Linked DNA regions of Anolis sagrei. The protein of the gene in region 3 purifies or fractionates together with the protein of the main gene of each other region. This does not show direct contact. Links are inferred from orthologs where the notes say so. Each region holds a gene or a part of one and is shown on either strand. Other genes may lie near its edges.

Region 1 (7,840 bases), on a different chromosome or scaffold from region 3:
TAGCTTCTCACATGGACAATTATATGTTGCACGTTCTAGAGTTGGAAAACCACACAATCTCTATCTCTGCACAGAAAATGGAACAACAAAAAATATTGCATACTCACAAGCATTGTGAAATTAAATATATTAGTAACCTGCTCTTTCTCTTCTCTTCCTTTTCCTTTTAACCAGACTGGGCCACAGCAACACATGGCTGGGGACAACTACTTTATGATAAAAGTATCATTTACCTACTTCTAACATATGCTTGAATGTACTATAAATATTGTGTTGGATTATTTTACTTCCTAGTTTATTTAATAGATTGTGGTATTAGTATGACGCCTGTATCCATAATGAATATGCTCCTGGACTTCATCTGGATACATGAAACAGTGGGAAGATAGCAAATCTCATTTAAATTAAGGACTTCCCATCCAAGAATATAATACTAATGAAACTTTATATCTCACCGCATCTCTCAGTATGGAACTCAGAGCAGCTGAGAACATAAAAGGCAAATATTCAATGCCAACAAGTACATACATACAGACATAATTTAATGAATAGCATTATAGGGTATAGGGTTACAGCCTGTGCTTGATGAGGTTACACTCCCGAAGGCACAGGTTTCCAGTTTGGGAGTGATCCTGGACTCATTGCTGAGCCTGGAACCCCAGGTTTCAGCGGTGGCCAGGGGAGCTTTCACACAATTAAAACTTGTGCGCCTACTGCGCCCATATCTTGGGAGGTCAGACTTGATCACGGTGGTCCACGCTTCGGTTACATCCCAAATAGACTACTGCAATGCACTGTACGTGGGGTTGACTCTGAAGACTGTTTGGAAGCTTCAGTTAGTCTATCACTTGGAACCCAAGTTGCTCATGGGATGGGGTACCGAGAGCTCACATGCCCTTGCTACGCCAGCTCCACTGGCTGCCTATTAGCTTCTGAGCACAAAAGTGCTGGCTTTGGCCTATAAAGCCCTTAACGGTTCTGGCCCAGTTTACCTGTCCGAACGTATCTCCTGCTACGAGTCATCTAGGACCTTAAGATAGTCAGGGCAGGCCCTGCTCTGTCCCCCCACCATCACAATCACACTTGGTGGGGACGAGAGACAGGGCCTTCTCCATGGTGGTCCCTTGGGTAAGGAATTTCCTCCCAAACGAAATCAGATCTGCTCCATCTCTCCTGTCCTTCTGAAAAAAAGTGAAATCCTGGCTGTGGGATCGGGCCTTTGCTGACTAGACTGACTGGCGAAGTTATGGTTTTAATGGACTATGATGGACTGTTTTTAGGATTATCACTGAATTCGTTATTGTACTTAATATTTTTATATTGTTTTTATACTGTTTTATTATATTATGTATATTTATGCTTTTCTTGAAGGAGCTGGGAGTGGTGACAACCGACAGGGAGCTCTGGCGTGGGCTGGTCCATGAAGGCACGAAGAGTCGGAAACAACTGAACGAATGAATAACAAATGCTTTTCTTATTGTGGGCACTATGCTGTGCCGGTTGTTACCTGCCCTGAGTCCCTCTGTGGAGGTGAGATAGGAAGGGATATAAATGCCCTAAAACAAACAAACAAATAAATAAAATACCTAACCACGATGACATGCTGGAGGACCAAGAAAATGGCTAGAAAGGACATATGGTATTTTGTTAAATGTGGATAAATTAAACAGCAGATATTAGTCCCACACATATGGGGGTTCTACTGTATTCTTAGTCTCTCTTACACACATACACACAATTTTTATAAAAATATTTGCACGTGGGGAAATAGCAGAGACTATGATACTGCAGTTATTAAAATGCATCCTCACATACTCTTTAAAGCAATGCTGCTAACATGAAATGGACAATAATATTTCTGAGGGTAAAGTTCCAGATGAACATTGTTTTCAAGGGATGCCAGTTAATGAGGGCTTTTTAGTCAAATAGCTGTCTTGTTTTTAAATCAATGTATCAGTTAATTAATGGACTAAACCTTTGAGTACATCAACATAGTTGATATTTGAGAGTTTGTGTAGTTTATCTTCATCAAATGGTACATTTCACAAGTCTGATTCTGTGCGAATTCCATTTGTGTGGTTAGTGCATGGTGTGCTACTTGGGTAGAACAATTTGATGGAATAGCCTGTTAGTCTTCCAAATAAACATTTTAGGACTGATTCAATCATTTTAACAGAACTTACACTTAATAAGAGTAGTGGTGGGGTACGTAGTTAATGTGCAAAGGGTTTAGAGTTCAGTCTGTAACATTTCTAGACAGAGGTCAGAAAGAACTGAGAGAATTGCTGTCAGTCAGCATTGGCCACCTTGATTAGCACTGAATGGGCTTGCAGCTTCAAAGCCTGGCTGGTTGCTGCCTGGGGGAATTCTTTGTTGAGACGTTAGCTGGCCCCAATGGTTTCCTGTATGGAATTCCCTCACAACCTCTGAGGATGCCTGCCACAGATGTGAGCCAAACATCAGGAGAGAATGCTTCTGGAACATGGCCATACAGCCCGGAAAACTCACAGCAACGCAGTGATTCTGGCCATGAAAGCCTTTGACAACACATGTGTGGAAAGTTTGTATCATAAATCTGTGCTTTTGGTATGAAATACGTAGATTCTTATGCAGCACACTTTTCTTTTAATGTTTAATATGTTTTCTTTGTGCTTGAAAGATATTAATTTAAACACATTAAAAGATCCTGATATTTTATGGGTGAGCAGATGGCAACTAGTAGATGGCATATGTTCTGTATCTGAAAAAACTAAAGCTGATAGGGGAGAACGGGTGCCATTTTTGGAACCAGCAGGTGAAATACACCCAGAAACAGGACTAACATTGGAGATACTAAAATGTGTGTTGGGCACTGTCATCTTTTGCTTATGAGTTTTTCTAATCTTATGTATTTTAATATATGTGTGTTTTGCTGGTCTTTTTAATCTATGCCTTTTAACCGTGTGGTATCCTGCACATAATGAGAATAAAGGTATTTTTCTCACGTCCACCTAAATGGCTTCAAAGTATGGTTTCTTTAAAATGTGATCGTGTGATTGATGCAGAGGACCCTTTCAGGCCATTCCAAAAACTAACACTGATAGGTCAGTTTAGTGTATTGGTGCTTTGGAAGTGTGTGAAAAGGAGCTCAATGGACACAAATGGTCGAGGTGTAATATTGAGAAGGAATAAAAAGAAAGTGACACACAATACAAAACAGTTGTAAAGCCTGTGTTGCTGAAGGCTTTTTGTCACTGGGTTGCTGTGAGTTTTCTGGGCAGTATGGCCATGTCCCAGAAGCATTCTCTCCTGATATTTCACCTACATCTGTGGCAGGCATTCTCAGAGGTTGTGAGGTCTGCTGGAAACTAGGAAAATGGGGTTTATATATCTGTGGAATGCCCGGGGGGGGGGGGGGGGAGAACTCTTGTCTGTTTAAGGCAAGTGTGAATGTTGCAATTGGCCTTCTCGATTAGCATGTAATAGCTTTGCAGCTTCAAAGCCTAGCTGCTTCCTGCCTGGTGGAATCCTTTGTTGGGAGGTGATTAGCTGGTCCTGATTGTTTCCTATCTGTTTTCAGAGAGTTGCACTTTATTTACTGTCTTTATTTTGAGTTTTTAAAATACTGGTAGCCAGACTTTGTTCATAGTTACCTCTTTTTTGTTAAAATTGTCCACATGCTTGTGGATTTCAATGGCTTCTCTGTGTAGTCTGACATGGGACTTTTCCATGCAGCCCTATATCCCAGAATATCAAGACAAAAAATCCCACAGTATCTGCTTTGAGCTGGAATAGATGGCAGTGCAGACTCAGATTACCCAGTTAAAAGCAGATATTGTGTGATTTTCTGTCTTGATATTCTGGGATATAGGGCTGTGTGGAAGGTCCCCAAGTCCACACTGCCATATATTCTGATCCAAAGCAGATAATGTGGAATTTTATTCATCTATGTCAGGAGTCCCCAAACTAAGGCCCAAGGGCTGGATATGGCCCTCCAAGGTTATTTACCCGGCCCTCGATCAGGGTCAACCTAACTCTGAAATGACTTGAAAGCACACAACAATCCTATCTCATCAGCCAAAAGCAGACCCACACTTCCCATTGAAATACTCATAAGTTTATATTTGTTAAACTTGTTCTTCATTTTAGTTAAGGTAAAGGTAAAGGTTTTGCCCTGACATTAAGTCCAGTCGTGTCTGACTCTGGGGTGTGGTGCTCATCTCCATTTCTAAGCCGAAGAGCCGGCGTTGTCCATAGACACCTCCAAGGTCATGTGGCCAGCATGACTGCAAGGAGCGCCGTTACCTTCCTGCCAGAGTGGTACATATTGATCTACTCACATTTGCATGTTTTCAAACTGCTAGGTTGGCAGAAGCTGGGGCTGACGGGTGTGGTGCTCATCTCTATTTCTAAGCCGAAGAGCCGGCGTTGTCCATAGACACCTCCAAGGTCATGTGGCTGGCATGACTGCATGGAGCGCCGTTACCTTCCCACTGGTGCGGTACCTAATGAACCACTCACATTTGCCTGTTTTCAAACTGCTAGTTGTCAGATGCTGGGGCTGACAGCAGAAGCTCACTCCGCTCCCCGGATTTGAACCTGTGACCTTTCAATCAACAAGCTCAGCAGCTCAGTGCTTTAACCCACTGCGCCATTTTAATTATTGCATTGTTTTTAAGTGTTTTTTGCACTACAAATAAGATATATGCAGTGTGCATAGGAATTCTTCTTTTTTTTCATATTATAATCCGGCCCTCCAACAGTTTGCGGGACTGACCTGGCCCTCTGTTTAAAAAGGGGACCCTTCCCTGTTCTATGTGGAAGGGTCTAAAAGCCTCATGTTTCCTCGTTTCTGCCGAGCTCAGCGCTAGAGGCCAGGCGGGCTTTCCCTTCCTCTCCTCCTCCTCCTCCGCAGAATCCGGGATCGGAATCCACTCCGCGTTTTCCATGCGGCCCAGTCTCTCAGCAGAAGTGGATCGTAGTGGTTGGAGCTCCTTTTCTCTCTCTCTCTCTCTGTCCTTCCTGCCATGCACGCTGGGCCAGATCGGCGCAGCCAGACGTGTATTTAGTTATATTTACCCATATCCGGGTTCAAAGCGGGGAAAGAAAGACAGAAAGAGAAAGAAAGAGAGAGAGAGAGAAAGGAAGGAAGGAGAGAGAAAGGAAGAAAAGAGAGAGAAAGAAAGGAAAAGTTTTATTGACTCCCCCTCAAAACCCCCTCCCAAAATAACTTTCCTCGTGAGAGCCCACCACGGGCGTCCTTAATTAAGCAAGGACTCAGCCAAGGAGGGGAGTTGAACTCAATATGGAATAACCAATCTATTATTTTGGGTTTTTTTTGGGTGGGTTGGCAAACAATCCGGCGTCCCACTTATTGTGGGGTTTGTGTTTCCCTCTCCTCTTGGGGTTTCCCCCTTTTTCTTTCTTTTTTGCGTCCTTATTTATGACTATTTCCTCCCGGAGTGAGCCATGTTGCCTTGATCATGGCCGCGCAAGTGGCGGCGAGGGAGAACAACCGAGGCAGCAAGAGCCCCTCTTTGCCGGGAAACAACACCAGCAGCAGCAACAGCAGCAGCTTAAGCCAGGACTCTCTGGGCGCAGATGGGACGAACAGCAACAACAAGAGCGGAGGCTTAAACAACGTGGAGCTCCACCAGCACCACCACCACCTCCTCCACCGCCGCCTCCACCATCATGAGCTGAGCGCGGCCAATAATGCAACTCCTTCTCCTCCTTCGAATCACAACGCAAGCAACATCATCGGCGGTGGCGGCTCTTCTCCCTCGGAGGCGCTTCTCAAAGAGTCTCCCGGCTTGTTCGCGGCGATGGAGGCCGGCCTGGCGCCCAACCACAAGCTGAAAGGCGTCGGGGGCGACCACCTCCACGCTCACGCGGCCTCGCTGCCCTTCCAGCTCCGGCAGGCCTTGCACAGGAGCCCCTTCCAACCGCAGCAGCAGCAGCAGCAGCAACAGAGTCACAACAGCAACGGCGGAGGCGCTGCTCAGCCTGGCAGCGCAGACATGGAGCCGCCTCAAGAGCAGCAACATGGAGGCCACGAAGGCGCTTTGGGGGCCCCCAACCAGGCCGGGGCGGCCACGGGGAAGGCGGCGAGGGCCTTGAAGAAAGGAGGGGAGGAAGCAGACGCGGAGAAAATGGGACCAGGAGGAGGAGGAGGAGGAAGTAGTAGTAGTGGTGGCAATAGTGGAGGCCCCTCCGCCGCCTCGGAGTTTAATAGCTATTACAGCGGGAGCAACAACAACAACGGCAACAGCGCCTCCTCTTCTTCCTCCTCCTCCTCTTCCTCCTCCTCCTCCGCCAGCCGGGCCGGGCCTTGCTTTGATCAACATGGCGGACAACAAAGCCCCGGGATGGGGCTAATGCTCCCCGCGGCAACGGCAACGGCGGCAGCAGGAGTAACAGGGGGGCCTCTCAGCATGGAGCCCGCGCCCCACTCCCACGACGCCTTCGCCCACGGGCACTACAACCACTACGCCTACGGGAGGCCTGGAGCTGGAGCAGGAGGAAGCGGAGGAGGAGGAGGAAGCAGCTATGGGAACAGCCCGTCCTCGGCCTTCGGGGTGCTGGGCTCCCCCAGGCAGCTCCCTCCGCAGGGCATGATGCTGGGCCCAAGCGGAGGAGGAGGAGGAGGAGGCGGCAGTAAGGGCTTCCAGCGCTTCCCGGGCCCGGCGCAGCAGCAGCAGCAGCAGCACCCCTCGGGAGCCACGCCGACCTTGAACCAGCTCCTGACTTCGCCCAGCCCCATGATGCGGAGCTACGGGGGCAGCAGCGGGTACCCCGAGTACGGGCACCCGGCCCCGGCGGCCCCGCAGCCCCAGCCCCCCTCCACCCAAGCCGCCGCCGCCGCCGCCTCTTCTTCCGCCTCTTCTTCTTCTTCCTCCTCCTCCTCGGCGGGGCTGGCGGGCAAGGACGGGGGCCCGTTCGGGGCCAGCAGCGCCAACGCCAGCCCGGCCTGGCCCCCCGCCGCCGCGCCACAGCGGGGACACCCGGCCATGAGCCCCGGGGCCAGCACCGCCGCCGCCGCCGCACAGGCCCTCGGCAGGAGCCAGGTAAGCATTCCCCGCCGCCTCTCCCTCCTTCCTTCTTCCCCTTTTGACTTTCCACGCCTGGCTTAGCGAGGGACACTGTCTCAGCCTCTTTCAGGCCACAGAGAGCTGGGCTGGGCTGGCTCCCTTCGTGGAAAACAAGAGCTTTTTGTGTGAGGCAAGACTTGCACCACCTCTCCACCCAGACACACGCTCAGGGCCCTGTGGAAACACAGCCCCATATCCCAGAATATCGAGGCAGAAAGTCCCACATTATTTCCACAGCCCCACAGCTTTGTGTGTGGCAACCCTTGCACCATATACCTACGCAGACCCACACTCAGGGCCCTTCCACGCTGCCCTATATCCCAGAATATCAAGGCAGAAAGTCCCACATTATTTCCACAGCCCCACAGCTTTGTGTGTGTAGCAGCCCATGCGCCACATACCCACCTAGACCCACACTCTGGATCCTTCCACACAGCCCTATATCCCAGAATATTGAGGCAGAAAGTCCCATATCATTTCCACAGCCCCACAGCTTTGTGTGTGTGGCAACCCTTGCACCACATACCTACCCAGACTCACACTTGGGGTCTTTCCACAGCCCCACAGCTTTGTGTGTGTGGCAACCCTTGCACCATATACCTACCCAGACTCACACTCTGGGCCCTTCCACGCTGCCCTATATCCTAGAATACCAAGGCAGAAAGTCCCACATTATTTCCACAGCCCCACAGCTTTGGGTGTGTAGCAGCCCATGCGCCACATACCTACCTAGACCCACACTCTGGATCCTTCCACACAGCCCTATATCC
Region 2 (7,995 bases), on a different chromosome or scaffold from region 3:
GAGGGGTGTCATCTATAATTTAATTGTCAAAGCTCAATGCTATGTAATCCTGGAATTTGTAGTTTGATGAGGCATCAGCATTCTTTGGCAGAGAAGGCTCAAGGCTTTTAAAAACTACAGCCCCCATGATTCCATAGCACTGAACTATAGACGTTAAAGTGGATTCATTCCACAACATAGATGCACTCCACTGTTTCTTTTCCATTGCTGAGAGCTTTGGTGTTCTTATTTAATAGTTTTTACAGAAGGAATTCTAAGCAGGGAGTAACTGTAATGGGCATAGTACAAAAAGTGTGTATCTTTTGCTGCTATGCATTGCAATCGTTAGCAATTTTTTTGTTTTTAGGTGTTTGAAAATTGAGGTAAACATTAGATTCGATGGTACCTTAGACTTGAGTAAATATGGGTACATACATATTCCAAAATCTGGAAAAAAAACTTCAAATCCAACTCCCCTTCTAATCCCAAGCATTTAAGATAGGGAATGCTTGACTTGTACTTGGTAATTAAGAACTACAACAAATTAATTCAGAATTTTGTTCAAAGAACAGATAATATTGTTAATTGAAATTACAATGCCCAGGACTTAGCAGCAAGTTTTGGCAAATTACATCTCCTAGTATGAACCTGCCCAGGCCCTAAGATCTTCAGGAGAAGGCCTTCTATCAGCTCTGGCTGCCTCAACTCTGGAGCTCCCCTTCTTCCTAGAGAAACCTGATCGGCCCCTCCCTGCTGTCCTTTTGTTTTGGTGGCAGGCTAAAACCTCTCTTTTCAGGCAGGTTTTTAAAGAACATTTTAAAGGCCAATCCTTGGGCGGGGGTGGGGTGGGGCAACTAGCCCCTAGGTATTTTAATAGATTTTAGTTATTTAAATTTATAGCGATTCTATGTTCAAGACTACTTTAATATTTATATGTTGTAGACTTTAAACTGCATTGCCTCAATTAAGGAACGTTAGCTATAAATAATAACAACAATAATCAGCATGCATCTCATACCAGTTCTGGTCCCCACTTCGCATGACAGAGGAGGCCAAGCACAGTTTCTCCCGGATGGACCATGGCTCTGTGGGCCCGACATTCAGCAACTTGTGCTCTGGAAGTCAGAGAGAGAAAGAGAAGAGATAAACACTGCAATGTTGCAACCTGCCCACAGATCCTTTTGTGACAGCACCTCAAAATAAACCTAACTTTGTCCGTGCAGCCGCCAATCTCAATCAATACTCCTATTTAAGTAAGCCTCAAGAGCAGCATGGGCAAACTTGGGCCCTTCAGGTGTTTTGGACTTCAACTCCCAAAACACTTGGAGGGCCCAAGTTTGCCCATGCCTGTTCAAGAGACTGCAGTAGTAGTATGCTGCTAGGTTATAGTTCTCAGCCCTATGAATGCCCTGAAAAGGTGTGTGGCAGCAGATATGTTGTTTTAAAAAAGCAATGCTTTTCATGAGAACCACCACTCCTCTTAATGTCCTCCACTCCCCCCCCCCCCCAGCAATAGCAAGGGAATCCCCTCTGGGCAGCTAAACCAGGAAATTCCAATTGGATAGCCCCCCATGAAGGTCTTCCTCCAGGGGCAAACCAAAAATGAGCAACTTGGAAGTCCCTAAACAGACTCAGAAGTGGACTGTGCAGATCAAAAGACAACCTGGCAAAATGGTTGTCAGTCGCACAAGGTGGAAGAATCTGCGACTGCGGAGCAGAACAAAAGACTCTGCAGCTGTATGTGTGCCCACAATGCCCTGCTTCATGCACAGAGAAAGAACTGTTTAAAGCTAGACAATGCTGGGTTGCTGTGAGTTTTTTGGCCTATATGGCCATGTTCCAGATGCATTCTCTCCTGATGTTTCACCCACATTTATGGCAGGCATCCTCAGAGGTTGTGAGGTCTGTTGGAAACTAGGCAAGTGGAGTTTATATACTTATGGCATGTCCAGAGTGGGAGGCTGGCCATTCCAAAGCCAGACTCTCAAGCTGCAAGGAAATTAAAATGTGAATTAAGGTAGCCAATTACAACATTTACACCTGCCTCAAGCAGACAAGAGTTCCACATAAATCCCACTTGCCTAGTTTCGAACAGACCTTACAACCTCTGAGGATGCCTGCCATAGATGTGTGCAAAACGTCAGAATGCTTCTGGAACATGACCATACAGCCTGGAAAACTCACAGCAAACCAGCGATTCTAGCCATGAAAGCCTTTGACAACACAATGTGGTCGCTGTTGCCCTTTTTTGGCCAAAAATTATTTAGCTGGTTGTGTTCCCTCTATTTTATCAGTTTTATAATTTATTTATGCAATTCTTTTGACACATTTTTTTCTGTGTCAGGAGCAACTTGAGGAGCCCTCAGTGGTGCAAAGGGTTGAACCCTTGTGCCGGCAGGGCTGAAGGTTTGAATCCGAGGAGAGCGCGGATGAGCTACCCCTGTCAGCTCCAGCTCCCCATGCAGGGACATGAGAGAAGCCTCCCACAAGGATTGCGAAACATCAAAACATCAGGGCATCATCTTTGCAGACAGCCAATCCACCAGAAGGGGCTTGCAGAAGCGACACGAAATAAATAAGAAGATATGTTTTTCCCTACATGGAGGAAAGGGGGGGGGGGGGGGGGAAGCCTGGTAAATGTGTTGTCGAAGGGTTTCATGGCCGGAATCATGGGTCGCTGTAAGTTTTTCGGGCTGTATGCCCATGTCCCAGAATCATTCACTCCTGACGTTTCGCCTCTCACAACCTCTGAGGATGCCTGCCATAGAGGCAGGCGAAACGTCAGGAGAGAATGCTTCTGCAACATGGCCATACAGCCCGAAAAACTTACAGCAACCCAAGACCTGGTAATTTTATGGAAGCTGTTAAAAAAACGCAGGCACCCTGTCACCCGCCGCCCGCTCGCCTTATTTCCTTCCTCCACCCTCTCCTCAAAAGACAGACCCCCACTCACTACCCGTCCCGGCGGCCATCTTTCCGACGCACGCCCGGTGCGTGCCGGGAAAGGGGCCGCGAGCTATGCCATAGAGCGGTGGGCGGTGCTTCCTCCTCAAAGCCGCGTTCTTATTGGCCGACGCCTTGCTTTCCCTTCCCGGCACGTGTTTGGTCTGAGCCGGAAGCGCGACAGTGCGGGAGAGGCGCGTGGCTCCTTCCCGGCGGAGAAGCAGGCATGGGCCGGGCCAGCAAGCGCCAGGAGGCCGAGGAGGAGCAGGCGGCGCCGGAGACTGAGGCCACCCCGGAGCGCTCCTACCACGAGCTGGTGGAGAACGTCAACGCCATCGCGCGGCCCCTGGCCTCCCGCAAGCTCACGCGGAAGCTCTACAAGTGCATCAAGAAAGGTGCAGGAAGGAAGGGGTTGGGCCTGCATCTACTGTACTCAGGCATGGGCAAACTTGGGTCCTCAGCTTAAGCGGCTGAGGGTGAAAAGGAAAGGGCCTGAGGCTGTTAGGAATTGTAGGAGTTGAAGTCCAAAACATCTGGAGGGCCCAAGTTTGCCCATGCCTGGCCTAGGTCAAACTGCATTAACTCTGCAGTGTAGGTGCACCTTTGGGAAAAGGGGAGGTTTTAGGGGCAGCACTCCTGGAGAGAGGGGATGGGGGTCTTCAGAGGGCTCCCTTTCAAGCCTCCTTGCTGGGTTGGTGGCTTCCCACATACATATTCTCTCTCCCCTTCTACTTGCAGCATCGAAGGTAAAACAGATTCGGCGTGGAGTGAAAGAGGTCCAGAAGTTCATTAACAAAGGCGAGAAGGGGTAAGAATCTTAACATGATTTGCGATAGAAGACTCCCCAAGGACCACCCGGTGCGCTACTCACAGATGCCAGCCCCTCCTTTGCCAGAAAAGAAAGTAACACAGCCATGGGGTTGGAAGAAACCCCAAGGGCCATCTAGTCCATGCAGAAACATCCAAACAAAGCACTTGTCGGATGGCCATCCAGCCTCTGCTTAAAAAGATTCCACCCCTCTGAGGGAAAAAGACTCCGCCCCTCTGACGGAGCAAATTCCATTTCACTAAGCATAAACTATTTCTTGTCCCAGGTGTAATGTCATGTTTGCAGTTAGCTGCCTTTAATTCTCATACCAGGGGAAAGGCAGTATAAAAATGAAGTAATTAAATTAATATTGGAATGATCACAGGTGCCTCGCGCTTAATTCCTTTAGAGCATTTGTCTTTTTTAGTGCTTCTTAAGCTATCTAATATGGGGGACAACTGCCCCCCTGCTCCCCAGAAAGCCAGAGATAAGCACACTTGTGCTCATTAACTATAACTACAGTATTTCCTTCTTGGAAACAACATGCACCAGCGGCCAGTAGATTACTGACCTGCACCAGCCCACAAACCACCATTTTGGGTATCAGTAGGTATTCTGCCTATGCAGGAATCTGCGATATTGTTCCTTGAATGATTTGCTTCCCTCAGAGTTTCCTGTGTCAAGTTTGACACAGTATGGCTGACTTCAGTTCAGTCATCCGCTGCAGATCTTGGAACTAAGTCCTCTCTTTGTAGTGTTCCTGATTGTTATGAGTGAATTACAGGGTGTTTCAAAATGATGGACACAGTTTGAAAGCAGTGTATTTCACCATGGTAACATCTTATAGTTACACAAAAAGTTACAAATGGTTTAATGAGTTATCATTTTTACTATTTTGAGCCAGAAACAAACCTAAAAATTAACTCCTCAAATGGAAAATATCTCATTAGTCCTTATGTGGGTCACCATCTTGCAAATGACTGAGGCTAAAGGCTGTTTGTAATTCTTTGAAGTTCTATGCCTCATCCTTCCAAAGGGTAAGTTTCATTTATGAGTGGTTTGTGGTTGCAGAGAGATAGCCATTTCAGATCACGTCCTTCTTTTAGAAACACCTTGTATTTCTGTGTCATGTGGGAAACTAAAATGTGCCCATGTGTCAAAAATGCAAACTTTAGGAGGCCACAATGATGATGAAGCCATGATGAAGCCAGAAGTCATATAACAGCAGCATTGTTTTCATTTGGATCTGCATAATGTTAACCTCAGTGCCTCACACTGACCTATTTGCCTTTTTTATTTCTCACATTCTGTCTGTGTGAGAGTACGAGTCTCTTAAGTCGAATCCAATTTATGTGAATACTGACCACACTACAAATATTTAAAAATTAGGTAGCAGAGAATTGGTTTGTAAAGCAGCTGCAGAGAGCAGAATTTACTCAGAAATTCTGCTGAGATTGAGGAGGCTTACAACTATCAACAGTATTGCAACTTTATATTATGAAGAGGGATTAACAGTAGCTTTGTTGTTCTCCCACTTCATTAAGGAGCAATGTCTAGTCCTTTTTTAAATGGTATCCTGCCTGTTTCTCTTAGGATCACAGTTCTTGCAGGAGACACACTGCCTATTGATGTTTACTGCCATATCCCCATCATGTGTGAAGACCGGAATCTTCCATATGTCTACATCCCCTCCAAAACGGTAATGATTTAGAGGAGGAACAGGGAAGGGGGCCTTCTTATTTGTATGTCTTATGGGAACTGAATGCAAGTTGGGAAGCTACAGGCGGTCCCCGAGTTACAAACATCTGACTGGGTTAAGAACGGGGGCGAGACAACAGGAAGTGAGAGAAATCTACCCCTCAGAAGGGAAATTCACTCCTGGAAGAGTTATCATGTGGGAAAGTTGTCTCCACTGAAACTTTCCCACCAATCCTTTTTACCACAAGACGGGTTTATCAAAATCCAATTGTTACAAGGACAGAGGGTGAGGTTAAATCTTCTGAACAGGGGAACAGACAGCAAAACAAATACCACAGGGGTGTTCACCCTTCCCTATGTTATCCAAAGCTAAAAATTACTTATTTTTGGCTGGAATTACACTGAAAAATATTATTTGTTCTGACTTACATACAAACTCAACTTAAGGACAAACCGACAGAACCTATTTTGTTCATAACTTGGGGGCTGCCTGTATTTGCATTCAGTTCAGTAATTTGTAATGCTATTGAGGGTGAGTTGCGGGCATATATAATGAATGTCTTTGAAGTTCTACTTAATAGAATCTTAAATATGGTGTCCAGATTCTGAAAGAGATAATTTGCCTTTATCTGCAACCTTAAATTTTGTGATCCAGGCTGTCCACATTGACTGAACCAGGTTTGAATGCAGGGGCTGATGTAAGGGATTCCTGTGTTAAAGAGGTCAAAGCAGGATACAACCACTTTCATATAGAAAGTCTTAGATTGAGTCTCCCTGCTATACAGGATCATGTTATAGCTTTGTAACAGTTTTAATAATGTCAATTACTGACAGTCAATTACAATTTCTATAACACAGGAAAATCATTTTGTATTCTGAAATAAGTGCCACATTGCAGGTTTTATGAGGCTTTTGAAAATTGTCATCTTTTTGATGTGGTGGGATTGATTTGTCATGCTCAAAAACAATGGATCAGTTCATCTTGACTTATGGGACATGTTTATGTAAATTGTGACAGTGGAGCTATGTATCTGTTAAATCATTTGTAAACTAGACAAATATTTGTTTTCTTTTCTCAGGATTTAGGAGCAGCTGCAGGTTCAAAACGTCCAACTTGTGTTATCTTGATTAAATCTCATGAAGAATATCAGGAAGCCTACGATGAGTGTTTTGAGGAGGTCGAAGCCCTTCCACTCCCATTGTGAACATCAACAAAATATGTTCATGGACTGATTTAAATTTTCATTTAGGTTCATTCCAGTTGAGTAATAGCTACACAGATTTGGAACATTTGGACAGGAGAACTTGCCTTGAATAGAGTACTGCAGCTAATACCGTCTGCAGTCCAACAACTCTTTTCTGTTTTAACTGACTTATGAAGTGTGTTTTTTACAAAATGTGATTTATTTTGCAATATAATCTACTGCCTATGTGGATATATCGAGCTGTAAAGGCATTCTTATTTGATATAAATGCAGTAAAATATTTTCTAAAACATCCTATATGCATGGAACATTCTTTTACTGGCTGTCTTGGCCTATACATGCAGTTGATAAGGTATCCATCTTGTTTTTATGCAGCCTTTGCATATTTAATATGGAGCTGGGGACTTAGGAACACTGAAGGTGGGGAAACTGTGACTACAGTGGGGGCAGGACAAACATTCTTAGAGGGCTTCCCAGACTATTGGAGCTGAGGTATGAAAAATGTGCCCCACAACAGGTACACTCACCCAGCTGCCTTATGCTTTTTTTTGGGTGGGGGGAGGAAGGACTAGCAATCACAGACACCCCCCCCCCCCGCCATGCCTAGGACTGCTGTGTGCACATCAATAGATCCCTGTGCCTCAAGAGGAAGGAGAAGATGAGTGCAGTTAATGTACTGTCTACTTCCTTTTTAGTCTGGGCTGCTGTGTGAATGCATATGCGCATTCACACAGCAGCTCCACATCTCAGGAGGGGGTGGCAACTCTGGCTATTGGTGCTCCCCCTCCAGCTTACAAAAAAATTGTTCTTAAACTGAATTTGTATGCAAGTCAGAACAGGTACATTTTTAAAGTTAACTCCAGCCAATTTTTGTTTAGTTTTGAATAGTATAGGGAAGGGTTAACACGTTTATTTTGCTGTCTGCATCCCTGTGCAGAAGGCTTCACCTCACGTTGTCCCCATGACAATTGGATTTTGACAATTTTTGGTTGTGGAAATAAGGATTGATGACAACGCTTCAGTAGAGATACCTTTCCCCTCCCCATGATAACTCTTTCAGGGTTGAATTTCCCTTCCTAGGGGTAGATTTCCTCAGTTCTGCAGTTTCAACTAAGTCTGAGTTCAAAACTATGACTTGCTACTTCCACAATGAAATGAAATTTCTGTTTCAGTTTGTAATCTAGATTTTTTTGTTCTTAATCTTGGATTCCCAAGATGATTTAGATTTCAGCTCTTGGAAGCCCTGGCCATTACTAAGGAGTTGGACAATGAAATGTTGAGAATTAGTGCTATCAATCACTACATAATAAAATGGAAGGAGATACTGTATGGGTGATCTCTAGAGGGTTTCTGTGGCTGGGT
Region 3 (7,194 bases):
GACAAAAGCTCTTTCTCCCACCGTGGACATTCCACAGATATTTAAACCTCACTTGTCTAGTTTCCAACAGACCTCATCACCTCTGAGAATTCTTCAGGAATACGGCAATACATTTTCTAATGTTACACCATTAAACTGTATTTCTGGCACGAAACGATGGCTCTTACTACACTGCCATATAAAATCCAGATAATCTGCTTTGATTATATGGCAGTGTAGACGATGCCATTGTTACCAGGTAATAACAGCCCACTTTTGTTCTTACCTTTGGGCAGTCTTCTCCAGCATAGCCAGCTCTCACAGTGTAAGACCCGATATCAAAGACCAGAGCTCCAACTTCATCTGCAAACACAAATATAGACTCTGGATAACTTTGATTAAACAAAAACAAAATCTTATGAGGCAAATAAGTTTATTTATTTATTATTTATTCAAAACTTTTATATCCCGATCTTCTCAACCTCCACAGAGGGACTCAGACCGGCTCACAATGCCACAACACAGTTTAAAACATCATACAACAGTAGATTAAAATACATATAAAGTAAAATACATATAAGCCAGTTCACCAAGGTAAAATCATGTCCAACTTAGTCCGCATATGTCAATAACTTTAGTCTGTTGCCGGTCTCAGCCATTATTCTGGGAAAGCTTCAATCCATAGCCAGGATTTCACTAGCTTCCTGAAGGTAAGGAGAGAGGGGGCAGATCTAATCTCATTTGGGAGAGAGTTCCATAGCCGAGGGGCCACCATGGAAAAGGCCCGGTCTCTCGTCCCCACCAGACACAATTGCAAAAGTGGTGGAACTGAGAGCAGAGCCCCTCTGGAAGATCTTAACAGCCTTGATGGTTCATAGGGGAGAATACGTTCGGACAGGTAAACTGGACCGAAACCGTATCTGGTTTTGTAGGTTAAAACCAGCACTTTGAATTGTGCTTGGAAGGTAATTGACAGCCTGTGGAGCTGGCGCAACAGAGGAGTTGTGTGCTCCCTGTACCCCGCTCCTGTCCGTAGCCTGGCTGCCGAGCGTTGGACTTATTGCAGTTTCCGGGCAGTCTTCAGAGGCAACCCGGAAGACTGCCCGGAAGCCTCAACTAGTCCAACGTTCAGTAGCCAGGTTGCTCACTGGGGCTGGGTACAGGCAGTGCACAACGCCCTTGTTACACCATCTCCACTGGCTGCCGAGTAGGATAGTCTTCCAGGCTCAGTATTCTGGTGGGTCCATAGGTGACTGTGGAGCCCAATTCTTGATCTGCATCTTCTCCCGCAGTGAGGGCATTGGTTTCCAGGTGGAAGGCGGTCTTGGTCGGGGTTGGCTTGACGCACCTTTCTCCTGGCACGTTTCTCTCTTTCGCCCCCCATTCCTGCCTCTTCAAATTCTGCAGCACTGCTGGTCACAGCTGACCTCCAGCTGGAGCGGTCAAGGGACAGGTCTTTCCAGTTCTCGGTGTCTATGCCACAGTTTTTAAGGTTGGCTTTGAGCCCATCTTTAAATCTCTTTTCCTGTCCATCAACGTTCCGTTTTCTATTCTTAAGTTCAGAGTACAGCAACTGCCTTGGGAGACGGTGGTCAGGCATCCAGACAACGTAGCCGGTCCAGCAGAGTTGATGGCAGAGGACCATCACTTCAATGCTGGTGGTCTTTGCTTCTTCCAGCACACTGACGTTTGTCTGCTTGTCTTCCCAGGAGTTGCATGTGACGTCTGTAGACAGTCCACGTCTCACAGGCATATAGCAGGGTTGGGAGGACAATAGCTTTATAGACAATCACCTTGGTATCCCTACGGATGTCCTGGTTCTCAAACACTCTCTGCTTCATTCGGGAAAATGCTGCACTCATAGAGCTCAGGTGGTGTTGTATTTCGGTGTCGATGTTGACTTTGGTGGAGAGGTGGCTGCCAAGGTAGCGGAAATGGTCAACATTTTCTAATGTTGCACCATTGTATCTCTGGCATTGGAGAGGGGATGGCTGGTGACTGCTAGAACAGCACTTTGGTTTTCTCGATGTTCAGTGACGGGCCAAGTTTCGTGTACGCTTCTGCAAAGGTATTTAGAGTGGCTTGTAGATCTTGGACCACCGTGGCCAAGTCAGACTTCCCAAGGTACGGGAAAAGCTCTCCTGGTCACCGCCGAAACCTGGTGTTCCAGGCTCAACGATGAATCCAGGATGACTCCCAAGCTGCAAACCTGCACCATCTGGGCGTCCCCTGGGCAACACCCTTGCAGACGGCCAATTCTCTCACACCAGAAGCGACTTGCAGTCTCTTGTGTCGCTCCTGACACGACAAAATAAAAGGGGGAGTGTAACCCTATGCCCTGTTTGGCCTTGCGTCTGACCAGGAGGACCTCTGTCTTGTCTGGATTGATGTTGAAAAGCCGCCTTGAGTCACCTTCGGATTCGAGAAAGGCGGGGTAGAAATATCATAAATAAATAAACAAATAAATAAGTAAGTTTATGGGCAAAATACATTGAAGTTACAGAGGCCTGGAAGACACAAGTCTCCTAACCACAACAAGTCTCCTAACAAGTCTCCAAACACAACAAAGTGACAATCCATCAAGGAGTGAGAGCTAGTTTGGAAGATGTCAGCAAAGCCATCAGCTTGTATTTCTGATCAGGCAGGCCTGGGCCAACTTGGGCCCTCCAGGGGTTTTGGACTACAACTCCCACAATTCCTAACAGCCTACCGGCTGTTAGGAATTGTGGGAGTTGTAGTCCAAAACCCCTGGAGGGCCCAAGTTGGCCCAGGCCTGGTCTAGCTGCAACTTCAGAGAGTCTAGCCTGCTTTCCACTCCAGAGTCATTCAAAGGAGAGTCCCCTTCCCTTCGGTCTTAAAGGCGCCGCAGCCCCGCCTGGCTTTCCCATCTCGCGCATGCGCCAAGCCCTCCGCTCACCTCCTCCGTAGACCCCGCCGCTCATGGCTGCAACCGAGGCTCCGCTCTGCTTCTCTTCACAGCGCGCGGCGGGATCCCTTTCTCCCGTTCTACCTCGCTAAGGCCCGCCTCCTCTCCCTCTCTCCACCAATCGGCAGCCCGCCGCTGTTCCAAAGCCCGCCTATCGCTGGAGGAGCCAACTGCAAAGGGCTCTCCTGATTGGCTTTCGTTTTGCCTAGTAGGTATCATAGGGTTTGTGTCCCTCCAATGGGAGGAGAAGATTCAAGTTTGGTTGCCTTGTAGTAGTTTTGGTGGGAAGATCAGCACAGAGGGAAAAGTCTAGTCAAGGGAGAGCATTGGATTTCTGCATGTTTTGCTTGGGAGTTTAATCTGTTTTATTTTTTATTTTAATTATTTTAATTTATTTTTATTAATATTTTTATTTAATTTATTAATTAATTAATTAATCTATCTATCTTCTATATCTATCTATATATATACAAAAGAACCAATGAATGAAATCACACCAAATTTGGCAACAAAACGTCTCACAACACAAGGAGTGACCATCACTCAAAAAATTATGATTTTGTCATTTGGGAGTTGTAGTTGCTGGGATTTATAGTTCACCTACAATCAAAGAGCATTCTGAACTCCACCAACAATGGAATTGAACCAAACTTGGTACACAGAACTCCCATGACCAACAGAAAATATTGGAAGGGTTTGCTGGACATTGACCTTGAGTTTGGGAGTTGTAGTTCACCTACATCCATAGAGCACTGTGGACTCAAACAATGATGGATCTGGACCAAACTCTACAAGAATACTCAATATAACCAAATGTGAACACTGGTGGAGTTTGGGGAAAACAGAATCTTGACATTTGGGAGTTGTAGTTGCTGGGATTTATAGTTCATCTACAATCACAGTGCCTTCTGAATCCCACCAACAATAGAATTGGGCCAAACCGCCCACACAGAACCCCCATGTGGGCCACAGCAACGCATGGCAGGGGATGGCTAGTATATATATATATATATATATATATATATATATATATATATATATATATACATACATACATACACTAGCCAAGCCCTATGAGAAGCGGCTTAAGGAGCTGGGCATGTTTAGCCTGAAGAAGAGAAGGCTGAGAGGAGATATGATAGCCATGTATAAATATGTGAGAGGAAGCCACAGGGAGGAGGGAGCAAGCTTGTTTCCTGCTTCCTTGGAGACTAGGACGCAACGGAACAATGGCTTCAAACTACAAGAGAGGAGATTCAATCTGAAAATGAGGAAGAACTTCCTGACTGTGAGAGCTGTTCAGCAGTGGAACTCTCTGCCCTGGAGTGTAGTAGAGGCTCCTTCTTTGGAAGCTTTTAATCATAGGCTGGATGGCCATTTGTCGGGGGTGATTTGAATGCAATATTCCTGCTTCTTGGCAGAGGGTTGGACCGGATGGCCCATGAGGTCTCTTCCAAGTCTTTGATTCTAAGTGCAGCCTTGCATAAAATACCTTTCTTGATTATCCAATACTGTATGATCAACTTTTTGATTCTATGATTATATATATATATATATAGGATCCAAGTTCATACATATCTCATGTGATATACAGTGATGATAATGGAACAGGGCCCAACAACATAGTAAAATGTTGACCTTTCTGTAAAATGGCAAAATCAAAGGTTGCTCTTCAGAGAGAGAGAGAGAGAGAGAGAGAGAGAAATGTATATGGGACCCAAATTTAAACACACACACACGTATATCCTATGATATACAATGATGATTATTATATTATATTATATTATATTATATTATATTATATTATATTATATTATATTATATTATATTATATTATATTATATTATATTATATTATATAGAATGCGAGGATATGGAGGTCTGGCTGTCTTTGCATTTGTGAATATCACTGGAGTCACTCCTCATCCAGTACTTCCGCCCCCAGCCAGCAGGGGCCGCTGTTCTGCCGTCCTTGTTCCTACTGTGGCACCAAGCCAGCCAAGCGGAAGTGACGAGAGGAGGCTTCCGTTTCTTGGCAGCCACACGCCGTGTGAGGCAGAGGCGGCCCCTTTTCCTGCTGCGGAGGCGCCATGGCGGCGGTAACAGAAGGCTCTTCCGCGGCGAAGGCGAAAGCCAAGGCCAGACAGGCGGCCCCGCTCCTTTCCTTGGACCTGGACCGACAGCAAGAGTTCCAGGCTGAGGTGCAGCGCGTGCGGAAAGGCAAGGTGAGAGAGAAGGAGGGGGAAGCGCCACCAGAGTCTCTTAGGGTGCCGCTGCACTGCGCATGCGCAGGTGTTTGGGACTCCCAACTCCTACAATTCCTAACAGCCGGTAGTTGGAGTCCAGAACACCTAAAGGGCCCAAGTTGACCCAAACCCATGTACAGTTTAGCAGCTATTAGGGGTAGGTAAGGTAAAGGTATTGTATTTTGTCTGTTTGCTTTGTTCTGTTAGAAATGTAATATAATTGACTGGTTGATCTGACACGACAAATAAATAGGTAAAGGCAAAGGTTTCCCCTGACATTATAGTGTCTGACTCTTGGGGTTTGTGCTCATCTCCATTTCTAAGCTGAAGAGCCGGCGTCGTCCGTAGACACCTCCAAGGTCATGCGGCCAGCATGACTGCATGGAGTGCCATTGCCTTCCCACTGAAATGCTACCTATTGATCTGCTATAGAATCAAAGAGTTGGAAGAGACCTCATGGGCCATCCAGTCCAACCCCCTGCCAAGAAGCAGGAATATTGCATTCAAAGCACCCCTGACAGATGGCCATCCAGCCTCTGTTTAAAAGCTTCCAAAGAAGGAGCCTCCACCACACTCCGGGGCAGAGAGTTCCACTGCTGAACAGCTCTCACAGTCAGGAAGTTCTTCCTCATGTTCAGATGGAATCTCCTCTCGTAGTTTGAAGCCATTGTTTCACGTCCTAGTGTCCAAGGATGCAGAAAACAAGCTTGCTCCCTCATCCCTGTGACTTCTTCTCACGTATTTATACATTATTATCATGTCTCATCTCAGCCTTCTCTTCTTCAGGCTAAACATGCCCAGCTCTTTAAGCTGCTCCTCATAGGGCTTGTTCTTCAGACCCTTGATCATTTTAGTCGCCCTCCTCTGGACACATCCCAGTTTGTCAATATCTCTCTTGAATTGTGGTGCAATTTGCATCTTTTTGAACTGCTAGCTTGGCAAAAGCTGGGGCTAACAGCAGAAGCTCACCCGCATTCAAACTGCCAACCTTTTGGTCAGCAAGTTCAGCAGCTTGGCGGTTTAATCTGCTGCACCACCAGGGGGGCCCAGATATTAGGGGTGCTATGCTGATTATTGGAAGGCTGTTGTTGTTCATTCGTTACGTTGTTTCTGACTCTTCGTGACTTCATGGACCAGTCCATGCCAGAGCTCCCTGTCGGTCGTCACCACCCCCAGCTCATTCAAGGTCAGTCCAGTCACTTCAAGGATACCATCCATCCATCTTGCCCTTGGTCGACCCCTCTTCCTTTTTCCTTCCATTTCCCCCAGCATAATTCATTGGAAGGATAAACAGATATATTTATGTGTTAGCCCTGTCCTTATTAGTCCTCTTGAATTCGTTTTCATACATTAATATATTTTTTTCCACATCTCATTGACTTGCCCACATTAAGAGCCGTGGCTCATGAGAGTTGTAGTTTGGCAAGGCACCAGCAATCTTTAGCAGATTAAATAATAATAATAATACCACAAATACCATTTGCCTGCAACAAAGAACTGGTGGAATCATAATCTGGAAAAAAGTTACAGAAAATGAACATGTCAAACTACTCTGGAACTTCCAAATTCAGACAGACAGAGTTTTGGAGCACAATACTTCTGACCTCACGATCATGTTAAAAAACAAAGTACGGATTGTCGATGTGACAGCAGGATTGAAGAGAAACAACTGGAAAAACTGACACGATATGAGGATTTAAAGATCGAACTGCAAAGACTCTGGTACAAACCAGTAAAGGTGGTTCCAGTGGTGATTGGCACACTGGGTGCAGTGCCTAAAGACCTTGGCATGCATTTAAACACAATCGACACTGACAAAATTACCATCTGCTAGCTGCAGAATGTCACCTTACTGGGATCTGCACACATTATTCGCCAATATATCACACAATCCTAGACACTTGGGAAGTGTCCGATGTGTGATCCAATACAACAGCCAGCAGAGTGATCTTGTCTGCTGTGAGCTCATCTTGTTGTGTTTCAAATAATAATAATAATAATAATAAAACTCTTATCTCCCCAAGGGGATTCAGGACAGATTCCA
Region 4 (7,463 bases), on a different chromosome or scaffold from region 3:
ACTGTATAGCATTATAATCAACATAGACCATCATCTTTCTTAGAGAGGTTTATTTTTTTCATGCATAACTAGTAAATGGGTCCCACTTGTGTCCATAACAATAATGGAAGAGTTTTTTATTAGTATCAGGAGCTACTTGAGAAACTGCAAGTCGCTTCGGGTGTGAGAGAACTGGCCGTCTGCAAGGATGTTGCCTATGATAAGTGCATATGTTTTACCATCCTGTGGGAGGCTTCTCTCATGACTCCCATGGGAAGCTGGTGCTGACAGATGGGAGCTCGCCCCGCTCCTCAGATTCAAACCGCTGACCTTTCAGTCAGCAGTCTTGCCAGAACAGGGCTCCTTAACTCAAGCATGGGGAGGAGCAACCATGGAAAGAAACCCACTACCCTAAATAGCCCTCATTTAAACTTCCTTTTTAATTTGTCTGGAAACACCATCAAAACAGGAAAAGTTGCTCGCTGTAATAGCACAGGGTCTACAAAGGGACTCCATCTTGAGCTAGATCTACACTACTACATAATACAGTTTTAACTGCATGATATGGTCAATACAGACCCATATAATGCAGATCAATGCAGTTCAAACTGCACTGTATGGGTCTACACTAACCACGCAATGCATTTCAAACTGTATTATGTAGTAGTGCAGATTCAGCCTTGAGTTTTGGTGCAAATAACTAGGGCAGTTGACAAGAGATTCAAACTTGCTAGCAGGGAAGTGGTGAGCATGGGGTCAGAAGCTGTCATTCCAAACACAATGAATTGTCTGGGGACTGAGGCATGCGCTCTCTCTCTCTCTCTCTCTCTCACTTGAAAGGTCAAAGGTAAGAGCCTGGGAATCAAGTCCTGGGCAGCAGCATGTGGAACGGAAGCAGCTGTCAAAGTGCAAAGCATTTAAGAGAGGAAACTTGCTGGACCATGCTTCTTCGTGTGACAGCAACTGAAAAGGCTGTGTGGGCCCCATAACACAGAACCTAGCCACCCAAGTCCCCATCTCCTCTATGGAGAAGTGCATGTCTATAGGGGGAATTAAAAACAGCTTTCACATCAGCTTCTGGGCCTTTGGCTCCTCTTAACAAATTACAGAGATTTTTTTTTCGTGTCAGGAGTGACTTGAGAAACTGCAAGTCGCTTCTGGTGTGAGAGAATTGGCCATCTGCAAGGATGTTGCCCGGAGATGCCCGGATGTTTTACCATCCTGTAGGAGGCTTCTCTCATGTCCCTGCATGGGAAGCTGGGGCTGACAGATGGAGCTCATCCTGCTCCCCAGACTTGAACTGCTGACCTTTTGGTCAGCAGACTTGCCGACACAAGGGAGATTGAGAAATACATTGATTCAACATCCAATGACACTTGTTGGCAGAAAACAGCAGACACATTTCCAATACAACCCCATTTGTAAACTGTAATACACAATGCATTTCTGATTTCTGTTGACATTAGAACAAATAAATGAAAGCAAGGTTGGATGCCCAAAAGAGGTTATTGAAACATCTCTCATAAGGGAATAAACCAGCACATCCCATTTCAAAATTGCAAAACTGCTAAGTTTTCTGCTTGCCAAAGAGCACATCTCCAGCAGGAAGGAAAGGGACTGAGGCTGCTCCAGGAGAACGAAAAGCAATTTGAAGGTACTGGGTGGGCCAAAAGTCATGAAAGGGTTTCAATACTTTATTGCTCCTTTATGTTTTGTTTTTAATATACAATAACATATATGATGATAGGTAAAGGTAAACATTTCCCCTTGGCATTAAGTCTAGTCGTGTCCAACTCTATGGGGTGGTGCTTATCTCTATTTGTAAGCTGAAGAGTCAGTGTTGTCCATAGACACCTTCAATGCCATGTGGCCAGCATGACTGCATGAAGCGCCATTACCTTCCCACTGAAGGGGTATCTACAGATCTACTCACATTTGCATGCTTTTGAAATGCTAGGTTGGCAGAAGCTGGGGCTAACAGCAGGAGCTTACTCCACTCTCTGGATTCAAACCACCGACCTTTCGGTCAGCAAGTTCAGCAGTTTAACCCGCTGTGTGCATATATTTAATTTATATATACATTACACAAGAAAAATTCAATCTCATAAATGGAATCTCATAAATAAATGTACATGACGTGTGAAAAATCCAATCTCATAAATGGCAATCCAATACCCCTGCATCACGTACAGGATGCAGGACCTCTTTGTGACTTTTGACCCACCCTGCACTAAAATCAAAAACAAAAAATGCAAGGTCAAGTAAACGCCTCAATGAATGAAAGTTTCCGTGTCAGGTCCTGAAGGGATCTGTAGAGAAGGGTGGGAACTAATGAATGGGAGAATAAGAAGGGCTTGATCTTGGGGCAAAGGACAATAGGGCACCAGGCGCGAAGATGTCAAAGAAACGTGCCTGCCACCCTGCAATTGAGATTATGGCCATTTCTCAAGAAAAAAGGGGGGATCTGTTTTCTAGGAGGTGCTGGTGATCCAAAGAGGGCTGATTCCTGATGGAAAGGGAGTAGGAATAATAAATGGAGGTGCTGCTCGTGGGGCCAAGGGAGAGACTTTGATGTAAGACGTGCAGTTTTAAGGATCCCCTCCTTCCCTCCCTCTCTCCCTCCGTCCCCATGGAAGGCAGGGTGGGGAGGGGGCCCGGTGCCCCTCCGATGCCCATCACCTCCCTCCCTTCCTCTTCCCCCTTTCCTTAAGATCTCCAGTCCCTCTCTCTTCCCATTCTGCTAGCAGGCCGGCCGTGATCCGGGGCGGAGAAGCCCCGAAAGGCCTCTCCGATGGCAGTCCGGCAGGCCCAGGCCCGGGCCTACCTTCTTGTAGTTCTTGCCCAGCCAGACCCGCGCGCTGTCGAACTGGCTGACAGTGTCGGAGGCCTCGTAGTACTTGACGTTGGGGCCGCCGTCCTTCTTCCGCACCGCCATTTTCGCAGCAGCAGCGCCGCCGCCGGCCTGGGCCGCGCCGCCTTCGTCTCTGGACGCCTCTTCGGCCGAAGGAGCAGCAGCCCCGCAGCGCCCTCTGCCGGCACAGGCCCCACCGCGCGCCCACCGCGCCAGCGCGCGCCCAGGCCTTCTCTCCCTCCCTCCCTCCTTCCTTCGCCCAGGCGCGGCCCTCGAGCACAGCGACCCCTGCTGGCCCCGAGGCGCAGGCTCGCCTGAACTAGCCTGAGCGCCTTCTAGCGGTGGAAAGGCGTCAGCATTATCATAGCTCAATGCTGTGGAATATAGGGAGTTGTATTTGGTGACCCCCCCCCCCAGTATGCTGATGACAACGTTGTCTGTGCGCATTCAGAAGATCTACAAGCCACTCTGAACACCTCCGCAGAAGCATACAAGAAGCTCGACCTGTCATTGAACATCAAGAAAACCAAAGTCCTGTTCCAGCAGACACCAGCCAACCCCTCTCCAATGCCAGCGATACAGCTTAATGGTGTAACATTAGATCATTTCCGCTACCTTGGCAGCCACCTCTCTACCAAAATCAACACTGACACCGAAATACAACACTGCCTGAGCTCTGCGAGTGCAGCATTTTTCCGAATTAAGCAGAGAGTGTTTGAGGACCGGGACATCCGTAGGGATACCAAGGTGCTTGTCTATAAAGCTATTGTCCTCCCAACTCTGCTATATGCCTGTGAAACGTGGACTGTCTACAGACGTCACATGCAACTCCTGGAACGATCAGCACTGCCTCCGGAAAATCCTGCAAATCTCTTGAGAAGACAGGCGGACAAATGTCAGCGTGCTGGAAGAAGCAAAGACCAACAGCATTGAAGCAATGGTCCTCCGCCATCAACTCCACTGGACCAGCCATGTTGTCCGAATGCCCGACCACCATCTCCCAAAGCTGTTGCTCTACTCCGAACTCAAGAACGGGAAACGGAACGTTGGTGGACAGGAAAAGAGATTTAAAGCACCGGGATTGTGGCGCAGCTGGCTGAGTGTCAGCTGCATTAAGATCACTCTGACCAAAAGGTCATGAGTTCGAAGCCAGCCCGGGCTGGAGTGGGTGTCCAGCCATTGTGTAGCCCATTGTCGACCTTTGCAACCCGAAAGACAGTTGCATCTGTCAAGTAGGAAAATAAGGGACCACCTTGTGTGGGAGGCTAAATTTAACTAATTTATGAGGCCATAAAGAAAGAAGACTCCGGGGAATGTGGAATGCGGAAGAACTTCATCGGTGTTGTTGATGGACGATGAAAAGCAGCAGCTCCCCTGGCGGCCAGAAAAAAGTTAAATAGCCTTGGTGTATTTGTGTGTTAAATGTTGTTTGTCAAACTGGCATTGAATGTTTGCCATATATGTGTTGACTGTAATCCGCCCTGAGTCCCCTGCGGGGTGAGAAGGGCGGAATATAAGAACTGTAAATAAATAAATAAATAAATAAAAGATGGGCTCAAAGCCAACCTCAAAAACTCTGGCATAGACACTGAGAACTGGGAAGCCCTGGCCCTTGAGCGCTTCAGCTGGAGGTCAGCTGTGACCTGCAGTGCTGCAGAATTTGAAGAGGCACGAATGGAGGGTGAGAAAATGTGCCAAGAGGAAGGCCCATCCGAGACCACCTTCAACCTGGAAACCAATGCCGTCACTGTGGAAGAAGATGCAGATCAAGAATAGGGCTCCAGTCACCTACGAACCCACCACCAGGACACCGAACTTGGAGGACCATCATCCTCAGATATGAGGGATCGCCTAAGTAAAGTAATAATAATAATAATAATAATAATTACTATACAACTTGGATTGATTACAAAAAAGCATTTGACTCACTGACACATTGTTGGATTATCAAATTTCTAGATGTCATCGGGGTTTGTGAAAATATTAGAAAGTTCACTGAAAATGCAATGAAACAATGGAAAATGGAGTTGTTTGTGGGCAGCGAAAGCTATGGAACTATTAACATCAAGAGAGGAATTTTCCAAGGTTACTCACTGTCACCACTGCTGTTCATCATTGCAATTATCCCACTGTCAGTAATTCTACAGAAAACAAACATAGGCTACCAAACAGCAAGAAATTCACCAAAAATCTCTCACTTGCTGTACATGGATGATCTAAATCAGTGGTTTTCAACCTGTGGGTCCCCAGATGTTTTGGCCTTCAGAAATCCTAACAGCTGGTAAATTGCCTGGGATTTCTGAGAGTTGTAGGCCAAAACACCTGGGGACCCACAGGTTGAGAACCACTGATCTAAAGCTTTACGGAAAATCAAAAACTGAAATCAAGTCATTGACCAACACAGTCAGAATCTTCAACACTGACATCAGTATGGAGTTTGGCCTAGACAAATGTGCCACAATGGCATTAAAGAAAGGGAAAATTACTCACAATGAGGGCATAGAGATGCCAAATGGACAAACCATAAAATGCAATCAGCCACCTTACTTGAATCTGCGCGCATCATTCAAAAATACATCACACAGTCCTAGGCGCTTGGGAAGTGTTTGACTTGTGATTTTGTGATACGAAATCCAGCATATATATTTCGTTTGCTGTGTCATACTGTGTTTTTGTGTCAGTAAAAGAATAATAATAATAATAATGTGAGGATATAAAGATCAAACTGCAAAGACTCTGGCACAAGCCAGTAAAGGTGGTCCCAGTGGTGATTGGCACACTGGGGTGCAGTGCCTAAAGATCTTGGCCTGCACTTAAAAACAATAGGCGCTGACAAAATTATCATCTGTCAGCTGCAAAAAGCCACCCTACTTGGATAAGCACGGATTACTAACCGATACATCACATAGTCCTAGACGCTTGGAAAGTGTCCAAAGTGTGATCCAATACAAAAGCCAGCATAGTGATCTTGTTTGCTGTGTGGTAATAAAATAACAACAACAACAACAACAACAAAGACCTTGGCCTGCACTTAAAAACAAACGGCACTGACAAAATTACCATCTGTCAACTACAAAAGGCCACCCCTTCTTGGATCTGCACATATTAGTCGCCAATACATCACATAGTCCTAGACACTTGGGAAGTGTCCAACATGTGATAAAATACAAAAGATAGCACAGTGATCTTGTTTTCTGTGTACTAATCTTGTTATGTATCAAATAATATTAATAATAATCTTTATTTATATTATTTATATTGTATCAGAAGCGAACTGAGGGTACAGTCGTAATGTATTTAAAGCCACAAAGTTAAAAACTTAGCATTATACTAAATGTTCTTTGACCAGTAGCTGGCCACTTGGGAGTGCCTGTGGTGTTGCTATAAGAAGGTCCTCCATTGTGCATATGACAGGGCTCAAGCTGCATTGTGGTAGGTGGTCTGTGGTTTGTTCTTCTCCACACCCTCATGTTGTGGAGTCCACATTGTGGCCCCATTTCTTAAGATTGGCTCTGCATCTCGTGGTGCCAGAGCGCAGTCTGTTCAGCGCCTTTTATTATTATTATTATTATTATTATTATTATTATTAAACTTTATTTATACCCCGCTACCATCTCCCCAAGGGACTTGATGCGGCTTACATGAGGCCGAGCCCACAATACATCAATATAAGCAATAACAACAACAGTAAAACAGATTAAATAAAACTCATAACAAAAAAGCAATATACAATGACAATAATACAACACACAATTACAATGTATGGCTGGGCCAAATGTAATTAAAGTTAAAAATAATGCTAGGCATGAATAAGGTAGGAGAGATGGGGCGTTAGTGGGAGCGTACAACAATCCTAAATCAATGTAAAGTGCATTTGGAGGGCACAATGCTGAGAATTCATTATTCTGGGAAGGCACACTGGAACAACCACGTTTTCAGGCTCCTCCTAAAGACTGCCAGAGTTGGGGCATGCCTGATGTCCTTGGGAAGTGAATTCCAGAGTCGAGGGGCCACCACTGAGAAAGCCCTCTCCCTTGTCCCCACGTCGCGCCTGCGATAGATGTGGGAGCGCAAGGAAGGCCTCTCCAGATGAATGAAGAGATCGTGTGGGTTCATACACAGAAATGTGGTCACGCAGGTAGTCCAAGTCGCCCAGTTTTCTGTGTGCCCAGGGGGGAGTCTCTCATTTGGTATCAGCCATGGCTTGAGGTTCCGGGTTTTTGGCTGACACTTTTGGACTCTTGCTTGCTGAGATGTTCCTGCAAATATGATCTTACAAAACTACTTCCTGATTTAAAGTGTTGGCATGTTGGCTGATATCCAAACAGAGGATGGGCCTTGGCTGGTTGACCCCTTCCTTAAGTTTAAGCGGCTGAGGGGGGGAAAGGGCCTGAGGCTGTTGGGAATGGTGAAAGTCCAAAACAGCTGGAGGGAGGGCCCAAGTTGCCCGGTTAAATTTAGTCAGTTGGATTCTTTACAAAGCGTCAGTTGATGGAACTCTGCACCTGTTCTGGAGGCCTTCCTTCACATGAGATCCCTCAGTTCCCATAACTAGTGACTTGAGGGAGGCCACAACCATGAGGAAGGCTCAAGTACAGTTCTCTGGGAAAGACACAGGCGACTGAGGGCGAAT

The links.
Region 1: the proteins of ACTL6A (region 3) and ARID1B purify together in Homo sapiens (affinity purification with mass spectrometry; 5 studies listed by BioGRID and IntAct, with this or other methods). This does not show direct contact. The link is inferred for Anolis sagrei from reciprocal best matches to the Homo sapiens genes ACTL6A and ARID1B.
Region 2: the proteins of ACTL6A (region 3) and BRD8 fractionate together in Homo sapiens (co-fractionation; 4 studies listed by BioGRID and IntAct, with this or other methods). This does not show direct contact. The link is inferred for Anolis sagrei from reciprocal best matches to the Homo sapiens genes ACTL6A and BRD8.
Region 4: the proteins of ACTL6A (region 3) and SMARCC2 purify together in Homo sapiens (affinity purification with mass spectrometry; 8 studies listed by BioGRID and IntAct, counting the BioPlex papers as one, with this or other methods). This does not show direct contact. The link is inferred for Anolis sagrei from reciprocal best matches to the Homo sapiens genes ACTL6A and SMARCC2.

The regions. Positions count from the first base shown.
Region 1 is NC_090021.1:69,803,436-69,811,275, reverse strand, and holds the start of ARID1B (AT-rich interactive domain-containing protein 1B), read left to right. Parts: upstream 1-4,838; 5' UTR 4,839-5,462; coding exon 5,463-7,046; intron 7,047-7,840. UniProt on the Homo sapiens protein: Involved in transcriptional activation and repression of select genes by chromatin remodeling (alteration of DNA-nucleosome topology).
Region 2 is NC_090022.1:76,370,949-76,378,943, forward strand, and holds the start of BRD8 (bromodomain-containing protein 8), read right to left. Parts: upstream 3,003-7,995; 5' UTR 2,952-3,002; coding exon 2,933-2,951; exon of another isoform or gene 2,923-2,932; intron 1,095-2,922; coding exon 998-1,094; intron 1-997. Other genes in the region: NHP2 (H/ACA ribonucleoprotein complex subunit 2), read left to right, coding at 3,149-3,317, 3,661-3,730, 5,324-5,429, 6,508-6,633. UniProt on the Homo sapiens protein: May act as a coactivator during transcriptional activation by hormone-activated nuclear receptors (NR). Isoform 2 stimulates transcriptional activation by AR/DHTR, ESR1/NR3A1, RXRA/NR2B1 and THRB/ERBA2.
Region 3 is NC_090023.1:257,609,257-257,616,450, reverse strand, and holds the start of ACTL6A (actin-like protein 6A), read right to left. Parts: upstream 3,019-7,194; 5' UTR 2,922-3,018; coding exon 2,897-2,921; intron 343-2,896; coding exon 266-342; intron 1-265. Other genes in the region: NIFK (MKI67 FHA domain-interacting nucleolar phosphoprotein), read left to right, coding at 4,995-5,129.
Region 4 is NC_090022.1:138,276,653-138,284,115, forward strand, and holds the start of SMARCC2 (SWI/SNF complex subunit SMARCC2), read right to left. Parts: upstream 3,003-7,463; 5' UTR 2,915-3,002; coding exon 2,804-2,914; intron 1-2,803. UniProt on the Homo sapiens protein: Involved in transcriptional activation and repression of select genes by chromatin remodeling (alteration of DNA-nucleosome topology).